Lytechinus pictus: one gene and its partner. The protein of the gene in region 2 interacts with the protein of the main gene of each other region in a pairwise test. Links are inferred from orthologs where the notes say so. Each region holds a gene or a part of one and is shown on either strand. Other genes may lie near its edges.

Evidence for each region.
Region 1: the proteins of polyubiquitin-C (region 2) and transcription factor Jun-like interact in a two-hybrid assay, tested with the Homo sapiens proteins (2 studies listed by BioGRID and IntAct, with this or other methods). The link is inferred for Lytechinus pictus from reciprocal best matches to the Homo sapiens genes UBC and JUN.

The regions. Positions count from the first base shown.
Region 1 is NC_087255.1:21,057,175-21,065,220, forward strand, and holds transcription factor Jun-like, read right to left. Parts: upstream 3,095-8,046; 5' UTR 2,799-3,094; coding exon 1,863-2,798; 3' UTR 35-1,862; downstream 1-34. UniProt on the Homo sapiens protein: Transcription factor that recognizes and binds to the AP-1 consensus motif 5'-TGA[GC]TCA-3'.
Region 2 is NC_087249.1:18,215,891-18,222,861, forward strand, and holds the start of polyubiquitin-C, read left to right. Parts: upstream 1-3,833; 5' UTR 3,834-4,169; intron 4,170-6,971.

The sequences.
Region 1 (8,046 bases), on a different chromosome or scaffold from region 2:
TCACTAAACCCAACAAATCACATAAGAAATAACATTTTAATTTTCATAATTTTTATTATCCAGCAAACTGAGCTGTAGTTTCTTTTTTTTCTTTCAATAATTTTGTTTTTACAATACATTGCATGACAAACTTCATAAAAACGAAATAATGGCAATAAAGGTAAAATGCATAACTAATGCACATGTATTAGTTGATGCATCTTTATAGAAAAAACACAAAATTGATTTGGAAGAAAAGATCTAATTCATTCAGATACATGTAGGTATCATACAATGAAGAATTGAAAATATTACCCAGCTTTCAAATGAACACAATATTCACATGACTTTAAATGGTTAAAAACATGAAAACCTATTATTGCAAGTACATTTTATTGGAACATATTCCAGCAAAGATACAAAAATTTGTAACGTCAAATTCTGTGCAACACGTGGAGAATACAACAGAGTTATTTTTTTAAAGAAAACGTTGTTCCAGAATCTAGCATGTGAATAATGGGTCAAAAGAAACTCATGTATGATTTAATTAAATAACAGATTATTCTTCAGCAGTGTTTCATATTTCGCCTTCATACATGGATTGCTTATATTAATGAATCACAACCTTTCTGTTTATGCCTATGTCATAGACTCATCAGGCAAAATGTTATCTGTCTGAAGTTGTATTGCAAGAATGGCGGCATTGGTAAATACAAAAAAATAAACAAAACACCGACCACAGGTGTCCACAGGTGTCGTAGATCAAAATGCGTAACTTTTACTGTAAGTTAAGAGTCTAAAAGCTTTGGTGCAGTAATGTGCAAACAAGTCGCAAAATATTTTATTTGGCCTCCCAATGGTGTGAGCTGTTGAAATTGTTGCAAGATTAAATTGATAACACAGATGAGCTACATTGCATTTGCAGCCATTTCTGATGGTCAGTGGTCATTACAAGCAAAAAATAAAGAAAGCTGATTATTTCCTTGCACACAATGCTTTCGTCAAATGTACAATTGGTAAAAAATAAAATCTGAGGAAAAACAAGAAATTCATAACACAAGACCATACATTCTGTTCGAAATAACTTCTCAAAACCAGTATGCTTCTTTGAAAGACAAAAAATTTTCATACGAATATTCACATCATAAACCATTTCAATGTACAACTTTATAAATTCCTCGCAGTTTCCTTCAAAAATTTTCTCACAAAAAATTATTTGACTTTCCTTCCCTTTTTTCTTTTGAATAAAGGACCATCCTACTACACTGGACTTCAAAAGACTAAGCATGGACAAGTACAATTAAAATTTGGGCATTATAAGTGAGTTTACACCAAATGACTGTTACCAAAGTACTGACTCAAAATTACTGGGCAAGCTAAAAGACAAATTGTCATTAGGTTACTAGGTTTGATGGGTTTATCAAATCGTCTTACTGGGCGGAATAAACAAATTCTCAATTTGCTCTGCATTTTTAGACATGTACAGTGTACCTACACAGAGATTGATAAATGCAGAAGATTATCAATTCCATACAACGAACATCATGGACTTGAGATATTTGAAAATCAGAAATAGGAATACTGGGGATCCTGCCCCAAATTTCTGGTAATTTTGGATATAACCAGGTCGGAACTACTGAATGAAAGTAATTTTGTATCAGCACTATAATATTGGGAACTGCAAACCAGCACAGTAAAATAGATTACATAGGTCTATACATGTCTTCTAGGTCAATTTTAAGATCTCAAAGAATATGAATGCAAATACAAAGTCCACATCCACAGTAATGTTTGTTTCGCAGGCCTCGAAAGTCAATAGTCTGTAGATCACTATTTTCAGTTATGAATGTCAGTGTTTCAAAATCATCTGCAATTATTCCAGATTAAAAAGCCAGTTGTTGTGCCAACATAACTTGACATCCACTCTTTACGTGTTCCATCACACTCTGTTTCAAAGCACAAACTTGTTCACGAAGCTTGGTTGCTGTAGTCGACAAGTCTGTATTTTGCGTTTTCAGGTCCTTCACTTTATCCTCTAGCCTGGCAATTCGCTCAAGCTTGCGCTTACGACATTTACTGGCGGCAATTCGATTCCTGAGCCTTTTCCTCTCAGCCTTGATGCGTTCTTGTGTTTCCATATCGATGGGGGACATGGGTGGGTTAGTGGTGGCGTGGTACACCGGGACGGTCTGGGGCTCTTCGCACGCAGGTTCTTGTTTGATACGTTCAACACTCGTCTGCCATCCGCATGTGATGGCTGTAGAGTCAGTGGGCATAGAATTACGAGATGAAAGGCTAACGGTTGATCCAGGCAGTGTAGTCGTCGTAGGCATTGCAGGGTTGTAAATCGATGTCGCAGCTGTGGTCATACTAGAGATGGTGGTAAGGGGGTTGAGGACCTGCTGCTGCTGGTAGGTTGTTATTGGATCACTTAGGTCCAGCTGGTCAACCGACGATTCATCATCGCTCACCACGGACTCGGAGTCCCCCGAATCATTCCGTTGGTGAAGGCTCTGGAGCGCCTCGACGAAACCCTGGGCGAAGGCGGCTTGCTCTTCGGTAACGTTTTTCGGGCAGATAAATTGAGTAGGCGTTGGTGTAGTACAAATATTGCCTTGCTGAGAAATAATCATTTTTTCGAGTTCAGGAGAAGCGAGTTTGAGCATCTGAACGTCTGGAGTCGACAGCACAGCAGCCGTAAGTTTGCGCTTGCCCGTGTCCAAATCCAGAGTCATGCATTTCTTCTTGCTCAGCCACGGGTTATGTGCATCTTCGTAGAACTGAGTCTCCATCTTTTTGCGACCGTTTTCGGCTGACATACAAACAGTTATGAGCTTTCTCTTGCTATGAGCTACAAGTCTGAGTCACAGGTCTCGAATTGATGTGGCAAAGAGGGAGATCCTGTAGTTGGCCAGGTAAAGGATTGAGAGAATTCTCTGTCTCTTCACAGTGCAAAATGAAATGATCGTAGCATGAATTTCCGATACCAACGCTGACTCACTATATATACACTGACTAAGGATTCCCAAAATAGACGGAAGAGCAGTGACATCAGATTCTCGAATAACGATTGGTCGGCGATGATGTAAGACGTGTGTTTGGCAATGTCATCTTGCGATCTGATTGGTCGATCCCAAATGTCAATCAAAGCACGTGCAGTGCTCTGGAAGTAAACGGTAACCCCTTCGACGACTCCACTTTTATAGTAGGGATGATATATTCCAGTGTACATATCAAGCGTATCATGATATAATCACGTTATAAATTAAAGAGACAAATATAATTCCTATTCAGTTTTGGTTATTGAATAATATATCTTCTTATTTTGATACCTTTTATCTCGAAGAACTTTAGATGAAATATTATCTAAATGGTGATATTCTATTGTTTTTAGTTTGAGTTTACCCGTAACGATGTGGACGCATCCAATTACACGTCACAATCTTTTTCCGGGTAATAGAACCAACCTCGCCGGAAGAGGTCCTTCATTTCCATAACAAAACATGCATAAACCTTGATTTCGCTACGTCACAAGTAACAACCCCTTTTTCCTTATATGGTATTGTTGTGGAAGTGAACGAGATCAATCAGGTGGTAAAAAGGTGAGACTAAATTTTGTATGTTGCTTGTAAGTTACTCTTAAGTTATCACTAACGTTTCAAGATGGAAATAAGTGGATGTTTGTGCTAGTAATAGTATTTGCTGTTTCAGTTAGTGTTGGCATTGGCATTGCTCGGCCTAACTCACTTTTACTTTAAAGTTTTAGTTCATAAAATCTTACTCTTAGTTAAAACACGTGCAACTGCAATGCTATTTCGAACACGTTGAGGTGGTGGGCATGCCATGGCATGGTCACATTCATGGACATGTCATGGACATGGATTTTCCCATTATTTATGCAGTCTAGGCCTATCTAGTATAAATCTCGATGTACATGTCTCTCCTGTTTCATTTGCCCAAATGAAGATCTAACGTTAGACCTAGGCTTAAAAGTTTTTAGAGGCAGTGACTGTCTTTTGGGACGATTCAAAGATAAATGCAAATAAAAATAGGGTCTAAATTTTTTTTTTTTACCCATGGCCATGCATGATTGAAAATAAAGTTTTGTAACCTATAGATCTAACGTTAGGCCTAAATAAAAAAAAATAATAACCTAGCCCAGGTAGGTAGAACAAAAAAAAGAAACAGCATTTCTACTAAAAAGCATTAGTGGCTAGATTTAAGAGTCTAGGCCTACCGTAATATTATTATTAGCATTATTATCAGAGACATTGCTCAAAACTTACCTCAAAATTTCCTAAATAGTGAAAAACAAGGCTTAAATACTCAATAAAAATATGTGCCTGGAAATGCATGTAGCATAATGATCCATTCCTATAAGCTATACTGTGTGGGATAGTGGCTAAAAATAGGCATTTTAAAGTCTTTATGTTGACCTAGACTGTTTGAACCTCTGTGAGGAGCTGTGAAACGTGTCACATTGATAGATAATGAACTTGGCTGCCAGAAAATGTTAAGATGTCGATACATTGTTCACTCAAAATATAGAAAGAAAATTTGAGGCCAACTAACCCATTGACTTTTTTTATACACATGTCTACAGCACAAATCTAGTGCCATCATAGCCTAGCCCTTCTGCCTAGATCTAGACCTAACGATAGGCTAGACAGCCATCTGTTTCAAGGATTTAAAAAAAAAACTTGTACTAGATCTAGATCTAATTGGTGAGTGGAGCCAACTAGTGGAACTCAGAGACCGAAGCTTGTGGTCTAGATCTAGAGAGCTGAAATCTGTCTGGTGGAGTTTTAAACATATAAAGCATTTTTTTACATTTTGAAATTTCTCCTCCGTTTGAGTGAGTGACGGTGGCAGTGTCAGTCTACACATGGACTGATGAAATTGGAGGAGACGGTGAAACAAGACATAGCCAAGTGCAACACTGACGAACAGAGACTCAAAACGGCAAAGCTATTGGTCTAGAATTTAGACTAAGTTTGGCCTAGTTTAAGCCTAACCTTATTTATTAAGGCCACCGCACACCTTACGACCCGATTGGTCTGCGACTGGCTTGCGACTGAGTGAGGGGATATGAATCGCAAGGTAGCCATAAGCCTCGACACCGCACACCTTGCGATCCGATCCAACTACCAAGCCGACTACCATGCTGTCTGCGACTCACGCATGCGCTTTTTGCCATAGCAACTAAGAAAATGCGCTTACTACTGCATATGCGCGTTGTATATCATATACGCGTCGTGCAACTCTGCTGTCTGATTGGCTGGAAGTTGGATTGAGCTTGCGATCCAGTCGTAAGGATTCGGCATGTCAAATCCTTCCGATTATCCTTGCGACTTGTCTCTGACCGGTCTGCAACTATCAAGCTGACAAGAGCTGTGACATCACATCTCCCCTCACTCAGTCGCAAGCCAGTCGCAGACCAGTCGGGTCGTAAGGTGTGCGGTGGCCTTTAGACATGACCTGGCTAGGGCTTGGCCCTGGCCTAACATTAGACCCTACACTAAAGTAACAATAAGGTATGATATGATAAGATATAAGTATACTGTTTTCTAGGGATTGTTGATAAATTAATTAAAGTTTATTAACTCTAAAGTCTAGTTGAATAAAAAATCCCCAGAAATGATAGCAGACTTCTATTCCTGTCTAAGACCTAGATCTAGCCTAATTTCTAGTCCAAATACTAAAATAAAACAAGTTTGAACTAAATCTTTTCAACTTTATCTCTAACTTAGTCTTAGACTATGATGTAAGATTTAGCTTTTGGAAGTAACAAGGTCCGTACAGTATGTCATATCTGTGTTCTATTTATAGATGATAAAAAAATGCCATAGACCTTAAATCATTTTTTAGGGTACAATAAAACTAGGGTTGACCACCGGATACTGCCATTTTGGTGTCTTGAGTACACTGAAGCGAATATCCAGTACTATGGAGTGGGTTTAAATGAAGATTAAAGATGTCACTTTAATGGTATGTGGCAAGCAGATCTACACAAACCAATTGTAATGCTGTTTTGGTCTGTAGTAAATCCAAACAACACCTGTGCTTACTTCCTTTAAGATGGGCTTCAAATCTCTAGTTGTCCTTGTTTCTAAAGGTTAAGACTACATTGTTCTTCAGCTATTGCTCATGCCTGTTTACACCGTACTAGACATGTTTTTCATCCGGTTTCTTCAACACTTTGAAAAAAGAAAGTTGTTTGCTGCAAAATTCTGTCTGCCTTGAACACTGTTTAATCAATTGTGGTTAGATTTATAGATCTGTACTGTTATTCATTTTGTTAGATGTAAGACAAGCAGCTTACTTATTGACAATAGTGAATGAAGGGTTTATTGGTGCAGTGCTATTTTGGGTTGTTATTTCATTGTGCCTATTTTTTCCATTCTGGGAAGAAGGGAGTTTTTATCCTAATGGATTTCATAAGAACTGCTTACACTGTTATCACAACTTATTCTTTGGTATTTTATTTTATTAATAACATCTATTCAAATTTTGTCTACCAAGAAAAAAAAATGGATTGACAATTGATTTAAAGGTCAAGTCCACCCCAGAAAAATGTTGATTTGAATGAATACAGAATAGCATAACACTGAAAATTTCATCAAAATCGGATGGAAAATAAGAAAGTTATGGCATTTTAAAGTTTCGCTTATTTTTCACAAAACAGTGATATGCACAACTTAGTGACATGCAAATGAGTCAGTCGATGATGCCCATCACTCACTATTTCTTTTGTTTATTTATTGTTTGAATCATACAATATTTCATTTTTTACAAATTTGACAAAAAGGACCAACTTGACTGAACCACATAGTATTAAGCAATGCTAATTCCATGTGTTCAGGGAGAAATAATCATTGTTTCACTTGACAATGAGGAGAAAATTAGAATATTTCATATTTCATATAATAAGATACAAAAGAAATAGTGAGTGGATGGCGTCATCTGTCTCCTCATTTGCATACGACCAGGATGTGCATATAACTGTTTTGTGAAATTAAACGAAACTTTAAAATGTCATAACTTTCTTGATTTACATCCGATTTTGATGAAATTTTCAATGTCATGCTTGTTGGATTTTTCTCTTTTTATTTTAATCAACTTTTTGTTGGGGTGGACTTGTCCTTTAAGGTGTAAGATAATAATTTATCCAACTTATTTTGTTACAAGGGAGATAGATATACATGTATATGAAATAATTATGATTTCATGTAGTACTCGTCAAATAAGGAAAGTGGGAACATGACATAATCTGCCTTCATATTGTATATTATCTGGCATTTAGTAATTGCTTCCACAAAATATCTCTAAACTTTAAGATATTGATAAATTTGTTATTTGATTTCAGATTTTGCTCAATGAGTTTTGCTCTATTTATTTAGATATAATAATTACTTCCAATTTTGAGTACCCTTTTACATTCATTAGGTCAATGTGTTGTTTTGTAGCATGTAAAACTCACTGATCTGAGAATCCCCTTATTTATATTCATTGATTTATTCCTTGACTGATGGATTAATTCATATTAATAGATCCACATTTTTTTTTTCAAAATATAAAAAGACCAATTATGATTTTATCTGCATATTTAAAACAAAATTTATTGAAAGAAGACCATGTTATATGTATATGCTCTGTTATTTGCTAGTCTGCAAGCGAAGACTCATATTTGACACTTTAACCAATAACAGGTCTTGAGTGAAGACTATACGCCAAAGGCTCTCAGCCATAGTACATAGTGAATCTAGTCTCACTGCTTCAGGCTCTGCATAATGCACTATGCGGATTGCAAAAACCAAGGGTCTGTGTCTACAGACTAGTCATTTGCATGGAATAGGTGAAACACATTCAATTTCAAGCAAAGTCATTCAAGAGTGCATAAAAACACTGCGAGCTTGTTCCACCGAATTACAGGTCAGCTGCATTCCGACTTCTACCACCCCTGCCAGTGCTACCTGTTGAACTACATGTACATTTCTTCTACCTCACCGTTTCCATGGTTACCATGTACACTGAATATGAAGGTGATACAGAGTGAGAATGAGTGTA
Region 2 (6,971 bases):
CAAAATGCAGTATTATTCTTACCCATAGATCAGGCTGACACAGTAAAGTAGCAAAATACACTTGACATGCTCAGATGCTGCCTAATCTTCATATGTGTGCTATTTCTTTCATTCATCTCTTGTATTATATGTACTGTAGGTAGGACTTTATATATATGGGTTATGGGCAGGGAGCGTTAAGACTAAAAACATTTGTATCATTCTAAGTGTTTGTCTAGTATGTAGTAGAGTTTTAGATACATAAATATTCAATCTTGAGAAGAAAAAAAGGTGTATCACCACGAATGATGATTAATCTTGTGTAAAGAGTGAATGTATTTTTAAAACTAATATGCATGTACAGGTATTATTAATATGTGTTTTTGTTTTCATTTATCTAACTTATCAGCAGAGAAGATTTATCAGGCATTGTTTCCACTGGATGTTTCCGTCTGTACTTTCTGTATTCCAAATGTGCCTTCAATGAACAATAGTTATTGGAATACGATGATCAAGCAATAATCTACACAGTTTTGTGAGAAACCGTCTCCTATGGTTTTCCAGCAAAGTAAATTTCAAATTTTCAAATGATGAATGCTAACTATTAAAAGTAATGGCAATACCAGCTGAATTTTCAAACGTGTAGACGTTCTTGTAGGTTCCAGTTCAATCCAAGTCCATTCCATCGACTTGCCCAAACATTCCGCATTTTGATACATGAAATTCAGGAGTGAGGTATCGAAACATTCATCAACTATGCAAAACATTCTATACTTTTATAATGATATGGATATTATGTACTTGATTTTATATCTATATTGGTGTGGGTTTAATATACATAAATATGTAAAAATACTTTTATTTGAATATTGAACTGTAAGTCTACAATGGATGTTACCAAGGGGGTCTTGTACTAGGGCATTATGATTATGTAAATCAAAATTGTTTTTAAAAGATGTCACTCTACTTTGTAGTTTGTACAACTGCAAAAAGATTTTAAAGATGTATTCTCTTACATGGAATAGCAGATCAATTATGTATGACAATGTAAGTACATAAATGCTAGAATACAAAGTGTATTTTTATCACTGTACATTTTTAAAAGGTGCTAGCTAGTTTGTGAATTATCAAAGAATGGAATTACATGTAGTTTTCTATTCTTGATTCATATTGTTACACACAGATTCAGATTTATCTAGTTCTAGTGATGAAGAAGAATGGAAATTGTGCATTTATGGTTTAAAATCGTTGAGATTTAGCTCTGATAAGCAGATGACCTTTAACAATATTGTGAAAGATTGTTGACTGTTGTACTTCAGACTCGCAAATTGATTATATTCGTTTTAACAGGCTCACATACAAAGGTGTACATGTAAATTGCGTGGATGAATAATAAATGAAACCATTTTATGACTTAAAGATTTTGTGTTTTGTATTATATTTGCTGTTGTTAATTAATTCACTTTGATATTATCCACCATGACCCCCACCCCCAGGCAGAAGGGCCATAAAATGTTCAAATTACAGCCCCCTCCACCCCCTCCCCCCATGCCTTAATTCCCGCGAAATGAAATAATTTTTTAAGCATTTGATAGTGATATCATCGAGGAGAAAAAAACATATCACTTAATTCATAACATAGTATGGATAAGTAGCATTCATCAACAACATCAATATGCTAATTAGTTTTTTATATGAAAATATACTAGACTTCGGACCTGACATTGACAGATATTCAAATTTATGGATTAATTTTTTTTTTAATACAGAAAAGAAGTATCCTATAAACTTGTGAGAAAAAAAATTATTCGAATTCCAATTTGTATACATATATTGTTATGTCTGGAAATCATCCATTAAAGTATATTGTGGTGTCAAAAAAGTTTTCATGAAAATACTAGAATGTGTTGTGGAGAGAGCCATCTTCCTTGAATGCTTTTAGAATTCTTGTATTCAAATTGTTGCTTCATAATGAATTTATACCTCTGATTAAATTTCTTTGATGAAGATCCTTGAATTTTCTCTAGGTCAAGGGGTTAAATCGTTCTTGCTCCTCACAATATTTATCCCCTTTTTTGCAGGTGTTGGGGCGAATAATCCTGATATATTGTCCAATAACTAAAAAAAAGGGCATTGTACAATCGCTTTGTATTTTTATTTGTATAATTATTATAAAAAGTGTATTGTACAATCACTTTATATCTATCGTGTAATTATTATAGTATCAAATCTGACTGCATGCATGATTCGATGCCAAAAGTAGATTAATGCCTCCTTGTGCCCACGTGTCTGTTGGCAACTAGAACAGTACTGGTCGGGGCACCTAAAATACACTGACAAGCAATCATCCCAAAAAATATAACAAAACACTATACAATAACAGGACAGTCATTTTCCTGACATCAAAAACAAGTTTTTGTTGAAGGGACAGTGTGCACGTTATAAGACAATGCTTTCAAAAACTCATTAAAAATGTTGAGCCCGCCGTTTATTCTTTTTTAATTCACGAAATACACTGCAAGTACCATAATACTACACGGGATACTACATAACGATTGACTACCGTGACAATCAATCGAACAATCTAAATTCCCACTTTGCAGAGTCACTTTTGTGATCCCCTTGTATCTTCAACAAGATATAGATATATGGATAGCATATATGCATGGGTGTCGATCGGGGGGGGGGGGGGGCTGGGGATATCCCCCAATGCAGGTTGGGGATGACCTACGTCGAATCTCATCCCACAGTAATTTACGGTGACTGATGAATCATATGGCAAATATGATAATGATGAGGAGATCATACTCGTGATGACCATCAATTTGTTTTCTCTCTAAATTTTCTTATGTTTGTATATGAAACCCTTCATTTCAGACGTGAGCTAGGCTTGGGGGCCATGGACCCCAAAAAAGTTTCCCGATCGACCGAAAAAGAAAAGAAAGAAAAGGAAAAGAAACAGCTAGGTGATGGTCTATTTGTAGATACCATGTCAATGTCTATCATAAAATTATTATTTTTTAATAAAAAAGGGTCAAAATTTTTGCTTGCTCACTTTGGTCACATGCATCTTTTTACAAGTTTGGCCCTTCATGGCCCCCTAAAAATGTAAGCCACATACCCCTCGCCCCCCCCCCCCCCCCCAACCAAAAAAAATCTCTCACAGAGAACAAAAGTAACATAATATGAACACCGATCGACACCCATATTAGATAGATAGATAGATAGATAGATATATAAATATAGACAGACATACGACAGATAGACAGACGACAGATAGATAGATAGATAAATTTTGGCCTCATTTTTACGCTACTAAATAGCGGCAATAGTAAATATTCAAAGAGGTATTTTCTTTTTAGTTTATTTTAATTACCAACTATTTAAGGTATCGACCAAGGCCGATTCACTCCAAAAGAATTTTTTTTAAAGAAAATTGATTTGAAAAGGGATGGCTCCTAATATTTTTATATATCATTATCAGATTCATGCGTCTGCCAATTATAACTTATACTCCCAACTCCATATGCTCAGATTGTTCTTTGTCAATAGCTTCTCTTTGGCAAAGATCAGTGCTTGGTAAATATAAATATATAGGCCTATATATTCTTTTAACCTCCATCCTAAACACATGTGTTGTGTCGTCTTGTGTTGTCCTTTTTCTTTTTGTTTTTTACTTAGAAATGGTAATACGATTATGTTTTTTTTTCCCTATGTAAATATGTTTGATTCTTTCAATAAAAAAAACACAAACTGAAAAAAAAACTAAACAGCGAAAAAGGCGTAAATATTTTTTATGAACTCTGTTGAACGGAAACAACAACAACACAGTCGCTAATATACCTCCCGCGACCACTCGTTCAGGTTATGCCCGCGACCAGTGATCATTCCAGAAAATGTTTTGGGCCGAAATTGCATAATTCCGAGATTGCGAGTCATCGATCGTCTGAAATATCTGGCGCGGGTTAATATGACGTCATGTGCCATAGATACACGATCTATCTTTATTACCCAATAGAAAAGGGTGAAATAGTCCATGTGACACAGACTGACCAATCGCAAGTCAACACAAAGCACCATATAAAATACACACAAGCGTCGCAGCGTCAATATACTAGCTGAGACTTCCGCAGATACTTCTCACTCCGAAAAGAACTTGTCAATTTTTCCAGAAAAACTCTGATTTAAAAGTAAGTAGACGAGATTTTCACATTATATTAAGGCAGTTATTTCAATTAAGGTGCAGTTTGTAAATGCTTGATTTTAAAAGGGCATTTTTTAAAGAAGAACAAGAACATAAGCAAATTGTCAACGACCACATCATCGTGACGATCGTCATTCGTGTGCCATTTTTTTTTTAAATCAGACAAATGTACTAAGTAATGCATGTTTGGCTTTCCAAATCCAAGGCAATAGGGAACACTAACACTTTTAACAGCATGAACAAAGTCACAATTTTGTTTCAATTTGAAGTCCAATACTAAAGAAATCATTGAAACTGTAGGGTGGATATATTATTATTGCGTCATGCAAGTGTGGCATTATTTATTATGGTAGGATGGGGGATCGGGTGTCCGGACACTTTATATTTTTGAAGCCTTCTTTTTTGTCTTAAGATAACACTAAAAATATGAATTCAATAGTTGTAATCATCTTATATTATGTTCTCTATAATATTTCCTTACATTTTGTACTAAAAATTGATGACACTTCGCTTGTAATTTTTTCCAAATGACTTTCTAAAATTGATCGTCCGGACACACAACCTGTCCGGACACACAACAACTGATCGTTCCTGGACTGGAGTGTGGTGTGGCTGTGGCCTGTGGCCAGTGTGGGTATGATCAATTGCAATTGTGAGGTTGTGAAACGGGGGATTTTCCTGATCGCTGAATTAATATTAATAATGAAATCAGAATAGCAATTGCCATGCCCATTTCTGGTCCATGGATTGCGTGAATACAATGGACAATGTCATTCAATTTTTGTCTGGGCTGCCATGATGAATATGAAAGAATGTTACATGCCTCTTCTCATTCTTCCTGACAAACAGTAGAGGCGCACGGCCAATATGGGAGACTCTCTCCAATAGGGGAGACAATCTCCCACATTGGAGACTTGCTTTGCAAAAGGACAAAAGAAACAACACCAACAAAAACATGATTTTTTCCACCCAAAATTTTGTCTCACTGAGGTCAGAAGCCCATTTGTTTTGTGTGTGATTGACAACAAAAATCCTTATCAAAACAAAAGTAGACGGTGAAAAGGGGTAATTTTTCATGAGGAATCTGCTTATCACATTTTTATTTGCCGCCAAGGTAATCCTTTTGCAGCAAATGTAAACAAAGGAAATTGATCTCCAAAACTGGAGACTGTCTCTGAAATTGGATACCCAAATTCTTTACAAAAGTCTCTGATATTGGAGATAATCTCCCACATTGGAGACAGTCTCCAATATTGGCCGTGCGCCTCTACTGACAAAAATTTATTGTCATTTCGCAACAGCCAACACTTCAGACTCAGAGCTCAGTTCAGACTTCATAATCATATTTCGCAACAGCCAACAATACACTTCAGAGCTCAGTTCAGACATATGATTATGAGCTCTGAAGTGTTGGCTTTTGCAAAATGACAATACATTATTGTCGGGAAGAATGAGGCATGTAGTATGGTTGGAACTAGGCCTTCCCCTTATCGACCACCTAATCTTCTAAGACTAAGTAGGCACTTCAGGTGAAAATTAGGAAAGGCTGTTCCAGCATATTTTATAGGCTCACAATGAGGCTCAATATCTACGATTCACAAAACTGTTTGAATTTTCAAATTCCGATATCTAGAAGTCAAGTTATTGTCATCTTTGTGATGAAAAAATGGGGCTTTTTGTGGACAAAAGAAGATTGCGAAATCTTATTAATATTATTCTCTTTGTTTTGGGCACGGCACATTTATAATACATAGCTTATGGGGAATTGTACAAGCTTTTTATTTAAATCTTAAAGTACTCAGATTGATTTGACATACATGTATTGGCATATGATTTCTTTGGTTCAAGGGCAACTACCCCTGGACGATAACCCCCCACCCCCACCCCCGGACAATTCCACTCCCCCACCCTGGACAATTACCCCCCCCCCCCCCCCCCCCGGACAACTACACTGTACTCTGTAGTCTGTACCCCTATCCAAAAATCTACACCTAACCTAACCCTATTTCGGGGGTAATTGCCCTGTGGTACTGGTAGGTTTGTGCACAGGGTAAACATGACTTGATATTGATTTTCTTTGCTTGAACATTAGAAATTAAGTTTTCAATTAATATTATTTGTAATCAAAGAAAGAGAATTAAAATAATAATCTTAGGATTTCTATCAAAAAATAAAAACAGATCGATTTCAATTGTCTATTATCTCATTATTGTCTTGTTATTGTGGTCTCAATAAAATTGTTGATATTATTATTTTCTCATCGTTTTATTATTGTCCCAATTATTATAATTATAATAATTATTATCATGATAATTATTTTTGTTTTATTAATATTATTTTCTAAATAATTATTACAATTATAATTACTATCATTATAGTAATTATTGTTATATTTTTTTCATAATAATTATTATTGAAATAATAATTATTATTGTCTCAATAATTATATCATATTGACCCAAATTTTGGTCATTCTACTGTGAGAATTTTGCTTACCCAGTTCGGGCAAGTAGTTTTGGTCTTTACTTCAAAACACTTGCCCAACTCAAACATTTACTTGCCCCGGGCAAGTGCTTATGTAGCACCCTTGCTAACGTTACTCCTTGACCTGAATTGCAGGCATCGGAAACGGCTGTATTTCAGCTTCGATCTTGATGTCATAGTTAAAATTCTCAGGAGATCGAACTGAGCGTGGTGCGTGTTTGGCCATTGCCATGTAGTTTTTATATGGACTGAAGTTAACGACTAAAAGATCTTCCCATGGCAGCTCGACTGCATTCGCAAGATT